2 linked regions of the Stegostoma tigrinum genome follow. The protein of the gene in region 1 binds, or shares a complex with, the protein of each later gene. Links are inferred from orthologs where the notes say so. Each region holds a gene or a part of one and is shown in the gene's direction. Other genes may lie near its edges.

The links. The genes of interacting proteins can lie anywhere in the genome.
Region 2: the proteins of rheb (region 1) and pde6d are in contact, whole or in part, in a crystal structure (PDB 3T5G), measured with the Homo sapiens proteins. The link is inferred for Stegostoma tigrinum from reciprocal best matches to the Homo sapiens genes RHEB and PDE6D. Residues at the interface, in NP_005605.1 of Homo sapiens: Pro2, Gln3, Ser4, Gln57, Asp77, Gln176, Gly177, Lys178, Ser179, Ser180, Cys181; in NP_002592.1 of Homo sapiens: Ile53, Leu54, Cys56, Val59, Val80, Gln85, Cys86, Leu87, Glu88, Glu89, Trp90, Ile109, Glu110, Ala111, Ala112, Pro113, Gln116, Met117, Met118, Leu123, Tyr149.

Annotation. Positions count from the first base shown.
Region 1 is NC_081355.1:146,855,423-146,862,688, forward strand, and holds the start of rheb (GTP-binding protein Rheb), read left to right. Parts: upstream 1-4,249; 5' UTR 4,250-4,595; coding exon 4,596-4,647; intron 4,648-7,266. UniProt on the Homo sapiens protein: Small GTPase that acts as an allosteric activator of the canonical mTORC1 complex, an evolutionarily conserved central nutrient sensor that stimulates anabolic reactions and macromolecule biosynthesis to promote cellular biomass generation and growth.
Region 2 is NC_081367.1:37,422,614-37,430,428, forward strand, and holds the start of pde6d (retinal rod rhodopsin-sensitive cGMP 3',5'-cyclic phosphodiesterase subunit delta), read left to right. Parts: upstream 1-4,792; 5' UTR 4,793-4,949; coding exon 4,950-4,999; intron 5,000-5,948; exon of another isoform or gene 5,949-7,815. UniProt on the Homo sapiens protein: Promotes the release of prenylated target proteins from cellular membranes. Modulates the activity of prenylated or palmitoylated Ras family members by regulating their subcellular location.

The DNA of each region.
Region 1 (7,266 bases):
TAAACAGTAAAGTTTAGCTTGGACGCAGAGATGGTTTGAGGTGTATATATTTCAATGCTACAAGTATCAGAAATAATGCGGATGAACTTAGAGCACGAGTCGGTCTTGGAACTACAATGTTGTGGCCATTCCAGAAACTTGGGTAACTCAGGGAGAGGAACGGCTGCTGGAGGTTCTGGGATTTAGATGCTCTAAAAGAAATAGGGTGAGGGGAAAAAGAAACGGGGCAGTTGCACTGCTAGCCAGGGCTAATATAGCAGCTACTGAAACACAGTTCGAGAATGATATGTCGAGAGAGTCAGTTTGGTTTGAGGTCCAGAACAACAAAGGAGCAGTCACTTTGTTGGGGTTTTTTTTAAAAACAGATCCCCCTAATAGTTGTAGAGAAGTGGAGAAGCAGATTGGGAGGCAGATACTGGAAAGGTGCAGAAGTCACAGGGTTGTAACCACGGGTGACTTCAACTTTCCAAATATTGATTGGAAACATTTTAGTTGTAATAGTTTAGATGGAGCGGATTTTGTCCAGTGCTTTCAAGAAGGATTCCTGACACATTATGTAGATAGACCAACACAAGGAGAGGGCAAGATAATAAAATGTGAGGCTGGATGAAGACAGCAGGCCCAGCAGTATCTCAGGAGCACAAAAGCTGACGTTTCGGGCCTAGACCCTTCATCAGAGAGGGGGATGGGGTGAGGGTTCTGGAATAAATAGGGAGAGACGGGGAGGCGGACCGAAGTTGGAGAGAAAAGAAGATAGGTGGAGAGGAGAGTATAGGTGGGGAGGTAGGGAGGGAATAGGTCAGTCCAGGGAAGACGGACAGGTCAAGGAGGTGGGATGAGGTTAGTACGTAGGAGATGGAGGTGCGGCTTGGGATGGGAGGAAGGGATGGGTGAGAGGAAGAACAGGTTAGGGAGGCAGTGACAGGTTGGACTGGTTTTGGGATCCAGTGGGGGGGAGAGCTGGGCTGGTTGTGTGGTGCAGTGGGGGGAGGGGACGAAGTGGGCTGGTTTTGGGATGCGGTGGGGGAAGGGGAGATTTTGAAGCTGATGAAGTCCACATTGATACCATTGGGCTGCAAGGTTCCCAAGCGGAATATGAGTTGCTGTTCCTGCAACCTTCGGGTGGCATCATTGTGGCACTGCAGGAGGCCCATGATGGACATGTCATCTAAAGAATGGGAGGGGGAGTGGAAATGGTTTGCAACTGGGAGGTGCAGTTGTTTATTGCGAACCGAGCGGAGGTGTTCTGCAAAGCGGTCTGCAAGCCTCCGCTTGGTTTCCCCAATGTAGAGGAAGCCACACCGGGTACAGTGGATGCAGTATACCACATTGGCAGATGTGGAGGTGAACCTCTGCTTAATGTGGAAAGTCATCTTGGGGCTTGGGATAGGGATGAGGGAGGAGGTGTGGGGGCAAGTGTAGCATTTCCTGCGGTTGCAGGGAAAGGTGCCGGGTGTGGTGAGGTTGGAGGGCAGTGTGGAGTGAACAAGGGAGTCACGGAGAGAGTGGTCTCTCCGGAAAGCAGACAGGGGTGGGGATGGAAAAATGTCTTGGGTGGTGGGGTCGGATTTTAGATGGCGGACGTGTCGGAGGATGATGCGTTGTATCCGGAGGTTGGTGGGGTGGTGTGTGAGAACGAGGGGGATCCTCTTTGGATCCCATAACCAGCCCAGCTTGTCCCCTCCCCCCACTGCACCACACAACCAGCCCAGCTCTTCCCCTCCACCCACTGCATCCCAAAACAAGTCCAACCTGTCTCTGCCTCCCTAACCTGTTCTTCCTCTCACCCATCCCTTCCTCCCACCCCAAGCCGCACCTCCATCTCCTACCTACTAACCTCATCCCACCTCCTTGACCTGTCTGTCTTCCCTGGACTGACCTATCCCCTCCCTACCTCCCCACCTATACTCTCCTCTCCACCTATCTTCTTTTCTCTCCATCTTCAGTCCGCCTCCCCGTCTCTCCCTATTTATTCCAGTTCCCTCTCCCTGTCCCCCTCTCTGATGAAGGGTCTAGGCCCGAAACGTCAGCTTTTGTGCTCCTGAGATGCTGCTGGGCCTGCTGTGTTCATCCAGCCTCACATTTTATTATCTTGGATTCTCCAGCATCTGCAGTTCCCATTATCACTGATACAAGGAGAGGGCATTTTGGATTTGGTGCTTCACAATGAACTGGGCCGAACGTGAGATCTGTTGGCAGGAAAGCATTTCGGCAGTAGTGATCATAACTCTGTTAATTTTACAATACTCATGGAAAAGGATAGGTACATACAGCAGAGTAAGGTTTATAATTGGGGTGGGGGGAGAAGGGTAATTACAATTCCGTTAGGCAAGAACACGGTAACTAAATTGAGAACAGATGCTGTCAGGGAAGAGCACTATCGAAATGTGGAGATTGTTTATGGAATGCATACAGCGTGTGCTCGATGTGTTTGCCCCTGGCAGTAAGGGAAGACGCGGTCACGTGAAGGAGCGCTGGTTCTCATGAGAGGTCGAATGTCTGGTTAAGAGGATGCTTATGTAAGGATTAGGAAACAAGGATTGGAAAAGGCTCTAGAGGGATACAAGTTTTCCAGGAAGGAGCTGAACAAAGAGCTTAGGAGAGCTATAAGGGGGCATGAGAAAACCTTGGTGGATAGGATCAAGGAAAACTTCAGGCCTTTTTACACATACGTGAGAAATAAGAGAACGACCAGAGAAAGGGTAGGGCCAATCAAGGATTGTAAAGGGAATTTGTGCACAGAGCGTAAAGAGATCGGAGAGGTCCTGAATGAATACTTTTCTTCGATATTCACAACTGAGAGGGACCCAGTTGTAGAGGAGTACAGTCTGAAACAGGCTGGTAGGCTAGAGGAGATCGATGTTGGTAAGGAAGATGTACCAGGAATTTTGAGGGAGTTGAAAATAGATAAGTACCCCAGGACTGATGGGATTTATCCAAGGATTCTATGGGAAGCAAGGGAAGAGATCACAGGGCCTTTGGCGATGATCTTTTCACCCTCACTGTCCAAGGATATAGTGCCGGATGATTGGAGAGAGAGAAACAACATTCCCTTGTTCAAAAACGGGAATAGGGATAACCCTGGAAATTACAGGCCAATTACTCTTACGTCAGTGATGGGCAAATTATTGGAAAGGGCTCTGAGATATAGGATTTATGATCACTTGGATAGGCACAACTTGATTTGTGATAGTCAGCATGAATTTGTGAGGCGTAGATCTTGCCTCACAAACCTTATTGAATTCTTTGAAGAGGTTATCAAACACGTGGATGAAGGTGGAGCAGTGGATGTGGTATACATGGTTTTAAGTAAGGTGTTTGATAAGGTTCCCCATGGTAGGCTTTTGCAGAAGGTAAGGAGGCATGGGATAGGCGGAAATGTGGCAGATTGGATTCAGAATTGACTGACCCTAAGAAGGCAAAGGATGGCAGTGGATGGAAAATATTCAACATGGTGCTCAGTTATGAGTGGTGTACCACAAAGACCTGTCCTGGGTTCTCTTCTGTCTGTTGCTCTGACTTTTAGAAGGGGAGCACAATGGCTCGGGGGTTGGCACTGCTGCCTCACAGCACCAGGGACCCAGGTTCAATGCCAGCCTCAGGTGACTGTGTGGAGCTTGCACATTCTTCCTGTGTCTGAGCGGGTTTCCTTCGGGTGCTCCGGTTTCCTTCCATAGTCCAAAGATATGCAGGCTAGGTGGATTGCCCATACTAAATTGTCCATAATAACCAGGGATGCGCACACTTGGTGGATTAGCCAATGGGAAATACAGGGTAACAAAGTGTGGAGCTGGATGAACACAGCAGGCCAAGCAGCATCTTAGGAGCACAAAAGCTGACATTTCGGGCCTAGACCTAAAATACAGGGTTACAGAGTTGGGTAAGGGCGTGGGTCTGAGTGGGATGCTCGTCGGAGGCTCGGTCCAGACTCGATGGGCCAAATGGCCTATTTCCACACTGTAAGGAATTCACTAAAGGGAGGGAATCAAATGAACTTCAATTCCCAGCAATCAGCGCGAGATGCGCGTGTTGGGTAGGGCTTGAGAACGGGGCGGGGTGAACAGACCAGCCGCCAGCGTTGCTGAGAAACCAACACTTGCCCTGCGCGCAGCCGGCACACTGAGGCATGGGAAGGCGGAGTGGGCGGGGAGATATATGATTGACGCACGTTTCAGCCAATCGATACGTGGAAGAAAACGTTAGGCCGGCGGGGTTAGTCCAATAGGCGGCGGTGAGGGGGTGGGTCCTGCCTGTTGGAAGGTTCCGGTTGAATCTGGTGAAGGGGAAAGGGGGCCGGAGCTGCGCCACTACGCGTTTAGAGAGCCCAAAAATAGCAAATACCTGACAGATCATACCTCAGTAGAACAGAAATTACCATTGATTGTGTTTTTTGTTGCTTTCTAAACTCCGTATTTCTTAAAAGAAATCCATGTAGATTAATTTATTGAGGTATTAAGTTCCCACCCCTCCCCCTACTTTTTTTCCTGGGGGGGTTGTCGGCCTGTAATTTGAATTCTTTTAAAAAGGAAATAACAACAGAAACATTTTTTAAAATATAAAAAAGTACTTTTTTTGGCTTGAACCTCGTTGTTAACATGCCACAACCGAAGTCCCGTAAGGTTGCGATATTAGGATACAGATCTGTGGGTGAGTAAAAAGCGTTTGGCACAGCCCAGCCTGTGCACTGAGTGAGCAGTTAACCCAGAGACGGCAGTGCTCTCATCATTTGCAAACATTCGTGCTTGTTCTGCAAGGTCTTGCAACCAGTTTTTATATAGCTGTGCATTGATATGGGGTTAGTAGAGACATCTTAACGTCATTATTACTTGTTATGGAAAATGCTCCAGCTCGATTTTTCTTTTAAAAAATGTTTCCACAAGCTTAGACGTTATTGCTTGTTACACAAGGTCTTGAGAGGAATTTTCATGTGTCTGTGAATAAGACACTGATCTGCATGGTCAGACTAAGACATTCCCGCTTGCTGTATGGAATTTTGTAGCTACGTATTATGTATCACTATTTTCATGAACTCGTTATTTGGGGCCGTTACACCTTTACAAGATCGTGTAATCTTCGCAAATTTGTGTAGGCTGAGCAGGAAGCTGAAAGACGTTGGTTGTTTTCGAAAATCTTGCAACTAGTTGTCCTATATCAGTATTTCCTTAATTTAATCATTTCATGACATTATTGCTTGATCCAGAATATTCCGCAACTGTTTAGATTGTATTTATACATTAGCATAAAACCAAAGATTAAATCTCTGGAATAACTAACCTCGTGTAATGGCTGACTTTCCTTCCTCCCTCAACCTTTACTTTGTTTTACCACGGAATGGTGGTTTGTTACTGGTTTTAGTAACTAATGTTGCTGCCAACAACTCTTAAAGTCTCTTCTCGATTTTAAAAAAACTTTATTAGATTAACTAGCCTTATGCTACGATTGACCATATTCTTTACCAGGATGGAGAACTTTTGTTTTGTATAGTGCGTCGGTGTGATGCATGTTAAATGTGTTTTTCTGGTTTGTTCCAGCGACGTTAATTCACAAAGGAATTCTCTAGGAAACCTAACCCCACGTAATGACTGTCCTTTTACTTCCCCTCCCCCATTCGTTAGCTTTGTTTTAGCTTTTCAGTGACAGCTGGTAGAGAAATAAGCGTTATTACGGTGTGTTTCTTGGAATTTCTGTTTGTGGAGTGCCTTTTAATAAAATATTACAGACTGTAATCGGTAATTTTTGTTTTAAAAGTAGTTTTCTCTGCAAATGTTAACATTGCATAACTACTTTGCGACGTAAATTTCGACTTAAACGTGGTTGGATACACGAGAGGCAATTAGTTCAGTGAAACCTGGTGGATTCGGCTTTTTAAATAGCCGTTCCTTACGGTAAATGGGCCTTTTACCATCGCTCAATGTCGCAATGGCAGATTTTACCCTTTAATTTTAGTCATCTATTTCAGTGTATTATGTTGCGTTAATTTAGTGATGCAGTTTGAACAATGAAGGTTGTTTTACAACAAGTCATTTACCTGAGGGAAAAATGCATTTATGTAATCTGTGCAGGATTTCAATTTTAGATTATTAGTATGTTGGGATTTAATACCAAGCTATTAAAGGTTTAGAAACATAAATTTAAGCAGTGATACTGTCAGCAGAAATAAATGCCTTGATGCATTAAAGCTGAACAGCCAGGAGGATTTTGCTGCAGTTTTCTAATGTTTCAGGCTATCCAGATATCGGCTGCTATCTAAATGTTTATGATCATAGCAATAGATTATTGCCTAATGCAGCAATTGCCTTGCTAATGTTGTGATTCATTTTGGAGCACCCCATGTTTGGCATGCTTTCTGGATGTGGACATAGCAAATGGACTACTTTGAGGGTTATGACTTCTTTTGGTGTATTTTTGGAATCATGAGCCCTTTCTAGCTAAGGAACGTTGTATAGCATATTACCCTTGGAATTCTGTGGCTTTGAAATGTAAACGTTTTTCTGTTGCTGAAAAATTCCTAGCACTTGCATGGAACAGATTAATTCAGTTAGGACCTGGTCATTTTTGCAATTGTGCAGGTTGCCTTGATGAATTTAAACAAATTTAAGCAGTGTTTTTACAAGTATTTCATAGCAAAACAATTTCAACTAAATAGTAAAATAATGGTAAATGCGAGTATGTAAAATCAAGGCCATTGACATGACACTGATAAAATAGCCTGTTTTGCTCAGTGTGTAGTGTCATTCCAGTCCTGAGTTGCGTTATGTCTGTGAAATGTACTCCAACGTGTTGTTGTCATCATACACACAGGTTTTTAAAAAAAAAATTAGCCTGTATTTGTGTATTAGAGTGGGCAGACAGAACAAGCTCTGACAATTGAACCATGATTGGAATCAAAGCTGTGTTGATTTTGTCATTTGGATTATATTGAAAGTGAAATTTCATGTGGCACGTTGCAGTATCAGTGTTCAATCTAATAATCAGGCTTCTGTGGTTCACCTATGGTGTGGCTAACACCAGTTCGCTGTAAACTTACACTAGTTGGAGAATCTTGTATTACTTACAACTAGCTCTCTTTTCAGAATCTTACAGATCTTTTAAAGTAAAGTATTCCTAACTTTTGGGCATTAGCTTGGGCCATCTGGATGTTTAGTTTTTGCCATTGCTTTGACGACACATACTTCATTGCCCTTGCAATAAAGGCCAGTATTCTATAGATCTTCCTAATCATTTATATCACGAAGTTAACATGCACCTATGTCATAAGGGCATCCA
Region 2 (7,815 bases), on another chromosome or scaffold:
AAGGCACCCTGCAACGTGCAGACAATAATGAGTTGGGATGTTGTTTACAGTGAATCTGATTGGTTTTCAGCTAACTGAATGATAAGAAACATGAGTCATAGGCTCACAGAAAGACACAGAAGGGTGTACCGCTGTTCTCCCTAGCAGAGATTAAAATGAGTTACTTTTTATGCAGCAGTTGCTGGCAGCTGTAATGTTTGAATTGATAAATCAGAGACATTTCCAAGTGAAGCAGTCACTCTTTTACCTCGGAGAAACCAGTCATCATCAGTTATCACTCACTAACAAGTATGATTGTGCATCTAGGAAGTTCTGTGTCACTGTTCATGAGTTCTGTGGGTGCACGCGTGGCTGATGAACCACATCCTAGAGCTGTACCTCCAACCACACATATGGCAGGTGGAATTGGTTTTTGACCTCAATCACTGGTATTCCTTTCTCCGACTCCAGTTTCATACTTCCACTTACTGATCAGTGTTCTCAAAAAAATTGTGTCCCATTACACGGCAGATTCTTCCAAGTTGGTTTCTTCTGAACCAGCGTCTCTCAGGCACTGATGTCTATTCTGCTTGAGGTAAGCCTCCAGTCTCTGAAGCACTTTCTTTGTCCATCTCTCATTTCGATGCCTTCCATGAGGTGAACAAAGAAGATTTGCTTTGGTAGTCGGAACTCAGGCATCCTAAGCACATGGCCAGCCCAGCAGAGTTGGTTTTGAATGATCATGGTCTTGATGCTGGTGCTATTGGCTCCTTCGAAAATGCTGATATTAGTATGCCTGTCTTCCCAGGTGACGTGGAGAATCCCTCTCAAACAGCATTGATGGTACTTCCCCAGGGCCTTGAAGCGGTGTCTATATGTAAATTAAGTTTAGGAGGCATATAGAAGAATTGGAAGAATGACTACATTATACACAAGGATCTCAGTGGATGTCACAATCTTTGAAGACTCTCATTCTCAGATATTCATTGGTGGTGCTTATGGATTGGATTAGAAGAGAGATGGCTGTTTAGGAAGGGGAAATGTTCTATGTTTGGGAAGATTTCTCCATTGATCTTAATGGAGGGACCGAACAGAACTTGCCCTGGGATGGGCTTCGAAAGGACTTGATTCTTGGAGTTGAGAATGATACCAATTCTTCAATATGATTCTGCAAAGGCATTAAACAAGGTTTGAAGACTGAGAGAGCAGAAATGAAATTCCATGAACTATACTCGTGTGATTTTCTTTTTGGATTTTAATTGTTTGAGGTTTAAAGTTTTCCGTCCATTCTGTGGACAATGTCCACACCACTGGGAAACTTGTGTTCTTGACAAGATGAAGAATGATGGCAATGAAAAGGAAAGAAAGGACATCGGTGGTGACACATCCCTGCTTGACTCATACCTTAACCTCAAAAGATTCTGTCACATTACTGTTGTGAGGACTGTTGCCAACATCTTGCCATAGAAGAGACAAACAATGTTGATGAATTTCACTGGACAGTTGGCCTTTGATAGGGTCTTCAGTAGCAGTTCCCGACTGACTGGATCAAAAACCATGGTCAAGTTGATGCTAGTCATGTAAAGTTGTTGGTGTTGTTCCTGGCATTTATTTTGGAGTCATGTCCATATTTTCACAGTTTGGTCAGAGGCTACACTGGCTTTCAGAAGGATTTATTCAGAGACTGGGAGAAAGTGTCTCAGTGATCTCCCTGGCGACCAATAATGGGGAGATTCTTCAGTTGCTTCCACAGTTCGCTTTGTCTCCTTTCCTGAAGATGGTGGCATTGGCAGCACCCCTGTGATCGTCAGAGATTTCCTCTTTGTCCCAGATTTTGAGGACCAATTTTTGGAGATGATGGGTAAGCTTTGCTCCTCCAAGGTTCAAAATCTCCACTGGAATCCTGTCCACTGCAGTGGCTTTACCATTCGTCATGTGTTTCATGGTGGTTTCAACAAATGCCACTATAGGTGGTAGTCCAGAATCATTCTTGATGGGAGTTGGGAGATTCCCCAACTATAATTTATCACAGTTTTGAGTTTTTTGAAATGTAGGCTTGGTGATGTGGTGCAATGAAAACAATTTGTCACTCCAACACAGTACAACTAAAGAACTGATCATCAACTTCAGAAAGAAAGGAAGAGCACACGCCTCCACCTACATTTAATGGAATTGAGGTTGGGAGAGTGGTGAGCATCAAGTTCCTCGAAGTGACAATATCCAACAAACTGTCCTGGACTTCCCACATAAGTTGTGAGCACATGGAATACTTTGCCAGTGGTAGTCGTGGAAGCTGAGTCATTAGTGACATTTAAGCGACTGCTGGACATGCACATGGACAGCAGTGAATTGAGGGGAATGTAGGTTAGGTTATTTTAGTTTTGGATTAGGATTATTCCACGGCACAACATCATGGGCCGAAGGGCTTGTACTGTGCTGTGCTTTTCTATGTTCTATGTTCTAAATGTGACAATCAAGAAAACACAACAATGCTTCTTTTTCCTCGGGTGGCTCAGGAAATTTGGCATGTCCATAAGGATCCACACCAACTTCTACAGATGCATTATTGAAAGCATACTATCCAGTTACATAACAGCCTGGTATGGCAATTGCTCTGCCTAGGACTACAAGAAACTAAAGAAGGTTGTGTGCACAGCCCAGACCATCACAGAAGCCAACTTTCCATCCATGGGCTCTAGTTACACAGCTCATTGCCACAGAAAGAAGGCCAACATCAGCAAAGACCCATCGCACCCTGGTAATGACCTCCTACAACCTCTTCCGTCAAGCAAGAGATACAGAAGCCTGAACACATGCACAAGCATGTTCAGAAACATCTTCTTTACAGTCATTATCAGCCTGTTAAATGGATTGTAGCCTCAAATAATGTAACCTGTATGTCTCTAAGTATTTTTGATCTGTGTATCCTTGCTTACTGTGATCTGCCTGTATCGCTTGCATATTGAAATACAGTGAAAAGCTTTGTTTATGTTTCAATAAAATCAATCAGTAACATCAACCAATCAATAAAAGACTGTTGTTTTCTCTGACTTTCAAAACAGTTCCAGACTGGTTTGAGGCCAAGGATGTTTGGTCTATATATAGTCTTCATAGCAAATCATTAGAAGATTCCAGGGAAAGTCAACTGAACACGAAGGTTCTGGTTAACTGAAGAAAGAACATCTCAACATTAAAACTGGATAGCAAAGACCACTGAACTGATATTCCAGTTTTGCTTTATCCCTGTCAATAATTTGTTTTCCCTATTTTCTTGTCTCTATGTGTATAATAGGGTATCTATAAGAAGATTAGATTTTGTTACTGGTGTTATATTTACCTGTAACTACAGTCAAATTATCTATAAAAAACAATAGGTTTTGTTTAGGACAGAAACCCGGTCCGTGATATCCTTCAACCTTGCTCTGAAAGTCAGGTAAGTTAGGGTCCTGTGCATATTTTTCAAAACATAAACTTTGGTATGAGTCCAGGAAAGCAGGGCTCCTTTTATGGTAAAAGCCAAGAGAATTGCAGATGCTGTAAATCAGAAACAAAAACGGAAGTTGCTGGAAAAGCTGAGAAGGTCTGGCAGCAGCTGTGAAGAGAAATCAGAGTTAACATTTTGGGTAATAAAATGTGAGGCTGGATGAACACAGCAGGCCCAGCAGCATCTCGGGAGCATAAAAGCTGATGTTTCGGGCCTAGACTGTTCATCAGAGAGGGGGATGGGGTGAGGCTTCTGGAATAAATAGGGAGAGAGGGGGAGGCGGACCGAAGATGGAGAGAAAAGAAGATAGGTGGAGAGGAGAGTATAGCTGGGGAGGTAGAGAGGGGATAGGTCAGTCCAGGGAAGACGGACAGGTCAAGGAGGTGGGATGAGGTGAGTAGGTAGGAGATGGAGGTGCGGCTTGGGGTGGGAGGAAGGGATGGGTGAGAGGAAGAACAGGTTAGGGAGGCAGAGACAGGTTGGACTGGTTTGGGGATGCAGTGGGGGGAGGGGATGAGCTGGGCTGGTTGTGTGGTGCAGTGGGGGGAGGGGACGAACTGGGCTGGTTTTGGGATGCGGTGGGGGAAGGGGAGATTTTGAAGCTGGTGAAGTCCACATTGATATCATTGGGCTGCAGGGTTCCCAAGCGGAATATGAGTTGCTGTTCCTGCAACCTTCGGGTGGCATCATTGTGGCACTGCAGGAGGCCCATGATGGACATGTCATCGAAAGAATGGGCCGGGGAGTGGAAATGGTTTCCCATTATCACTGTTAACATTTTGGGTCTAGTGACACTTCCTCACTTTTGTTTTTGGTCCCTTTATGGTGCTTTCCCAGGAGGTTGTAAACATACAAAGTATATCAACAGATATGGGGAGAGCACTGCAAATGTCAATGAGCAGATAATCTCTTGTGGCAGATGGGCTGAATGGCCCAATGTTCTTCCTATCAATGATACATGTGCTGTCTGTTCATACTTTCACAGGTCGACATCCTGGTGACACTATATCCGACCTCTGACCTGACCAAACTTGACCAGAGTGTCCAGTGAGACCTCTGTGTCAGTTTAATCCAGGATAATGAGATGGTTCAATGAATTACTTTTTCAGGAAAATTAAGCGTGGAGGCCAGTAACAAAAACCATTTCCGCCTGTGATTGACTGTAAAGATGACCAATCGGCCCTGTGCTTTACGACAGTCCCTGCCTCTATAGGGTGGGTCCTCCTGATGAATGGCTGACTGACGGAGATACCCGTAGGTTATTGGTCAATCTCCATGTCAATCGGACGTTGGCACCGGCTAGCCATTCTGATTGGCTGCTGGCGGGTGGAGGTGTTCCGGGCTGCGATGAGCCGAGCGTTGCTGTGGCGATAATCAGCTTGTTGCTCGATTTTACATTTATTGACATTACAGATATTCTTGTTTTCACATTAATCGCTTTAATCCCTTTGTTCCGATCTATCGGAGAAGGATCGGGAGAACTGCAATGTCTTCGAAGGAAGACAGGGCTAAGGAGATTCTGAAGGGCTTTAAGCTGTATCCTTTACCCGTGTGAAGGTTCCTGTTTTACCTAATTTGTGAGCTGCCTGTCCCCGGGGTAAGTGCGGCTTGTAGGCTCGGGGCCGGGGCCGGGGCCTGGGCCTGGGCCTGGGCCTGGGCCTGGGCCTGGGCCTGGACCTGGACCTGGACCTGGACCTGGACCTGGACCTGGACACATGTGAATGCGGATGTTCAGCTCTGATATGCCAACAGCAGCTGTCTGACGATAGTTTGCAGTGGCCCAGGGCGTTGAAGGTGACTCCTCAGGACAGGGCCAAGGAGTCTGCACCCGGCTAATTCCCCAATCTCAGTTTGTGCTGCAAGGGACAGCGATTTAATGCGGTTGCAGCACTGCGCGTTATTTTACTGTCAGGACAAATTATCATCTTTTGAGGCAAAAATAATCCAAAGCGTAACTCAGCTCGTGATATGGGCACGTTTGGGACAAACAGTTGAATTTCCGCTCATTTTAGGATTATTGTTTTGTACTGTTCCAATTGTCAATATGACGAAACGTATCTCCCACGACAGTTTTTGTTAAAGTGCTATTTAAATGTTGTCAAGATCGTCCTTGTGTTGTAGGTGACATTTATGATTAAAAATGGTGCAGGTTGCAAGCTGCTCTACATTACCTATTAAATCAATACATGTCACTCCTGACTAATGACAGTTGGACAGGTTTACTGTCTTAGCGAACAAAATATTGGTTCAGAAAGTTTGATTATAGTAAGTTGACAATAGCTGTTATGATAAGAATGGCAGAGATAGTAGGAACTGCAGATGCTGGAGAATCTGAGGTAACACGGTGTAGAGCTGGATGAACACAACAGGCCAAGCAGCATCAGAGGAGCAGGAGGCTGATGTCTTGGGCCTAGACCCTTCTTCAGAAATATATTTCTGAAGAATGGCCTCTGGCCCCCAAAACATCAGCTTTCCTGCTTCTCTGATGCTGCTTGGCCTGCTGTGTTCATCCAGCTCTAAACCTTGTTATCCCTGATAAGAACAGCAGTTGCTGGGTAGCTCTTTCGAGAGCCAGTACATGATGGGCCAAATGGCCTCCTTTTGAACCATAAAATTTGATGATTTCATTATTGTAAGGATGTTTTTTATTCATTCATGCGAATGTTAGTGTTGTTGGCAAGGTCAGTATTTGTTATGCATCCCTAATTAGCATTGAGCGGTGTTGAGCTGCTGTATAATTTAGTAATATTATAAAATTTTGGGTTTGGTACATTATTTTAATTTCGTTCTTATTAGGTGAGAATTGTTGTGTTCTGATGTTGTTTAAGCCCTCGAAATTTTCAAAGAACTAGTCATTGAGCTTATGTCTGAAAATATATTGGATGGCCTAGATTTTGTGATTAGCATAAAGCAAACAGTGTTAGTCTTTCATTACATTTGGCCACAGATTCTCTCAGGGCTTTTGTACAGTTTCTTGCGGTATTTTGAAAGCTATTTTGGTGCAGTGCCCTCAACTGAGATTTGGGACCTGTCTGAACTGGACAAAGAATTGTGCATCTAATTAACCAATGGGATTTGTGGATCCTCGCTGGAGCATATATTCCTATCCAGGAAGTGTAGATTAGAACAGTTAATTAAATACTAATTAATGTGCAAGGAAGAAGTATATTTAGAGAGATGAGGTAGAAAAGAAAGGGTTTTGTTTTTAAATTCACAATAACAAGTAAAATTTGAAGGAATGAGAACTCCACATATACAGAAATTAATTTTCAAACCTGGTAGGCTGTTTGGCATTAGTTAAGACTTATTTAAGCCATTTAACAAAAAAACTTACACTCAAATGGTCAAACTCTTAGCTTTATAAAATGAGTTCAATGGGTATATAACCTAAATTCTGTGTGTTTCAGTGGTAAGTCTTTGTTGTAATTTATTATTGTACTTTAAGCCTATAGATGAACAGGGCAGCTTGGACAGCTGATTCTGATTTTTTTTGACTTTTGCATTTAATTGTGTGTATGTGAAGTTGCAGTCCAATTTATGCTTCAATAATAGTGCTCTTAGCATATTTCTACCTCCAAATTGATGCATTACAGAGTTTTCTTCAGAGAGTCTTGAATGTGATGCATATCTTTACATTCACTGCAATAAAATTGGCAAGGGTATGAGGAGTAAATAAATAGAAATGTAGGAGGAGAGTAGGCTATTTGACCCTTTTGAACTTGCTTCAACATTCAATAAGATCTTAGCTGATCTGGTTTTGGCCTCATCTCCACTTTCCTCTCTGCACCCAATAACCCTTGACTCCCTAATTAATCCAAAATTTATCTGTCATGAGTAAATGTGAAAGACTTAGTTTATACTGTCATCAAGGGAGACAAAATTCCACAATCTTAATGATCCTTGGTTGGAAAAATTCTCTTCATCTCTATCTTAAAAGAAAGACTGTTTCTTTTTTTCTTTTTAAACTGTGTCATCCATTCTAGCAACCATCTTGTTGAAATCCACCTTTGCAAGATCTAAGATCACCTCACATAGTTATAAACAATGGATATATGCCTAAATAAAATACTAATGATTCCATTAGAATTATTAACAACTAGGCTATCGCTAGTTACTGAAAGATGACCCTGCTAAATACAAGAACCATGATCCCTTACAAGAATCAGCATCTGAAATCGTATTTCATAGAGAAATTGGTGGAAAAAAGAAAAGCTGGAAAACATGAAATGTGAACATAGCAACACAGACCTGTACCACTCCCTTCCTAACAGCACTGTGGTTGACCTGACCCCTGATGGATTGCAACAGTTCAAGAAATGAGCTCACCACTGCCTTCTCTAGGAGAATTGGTG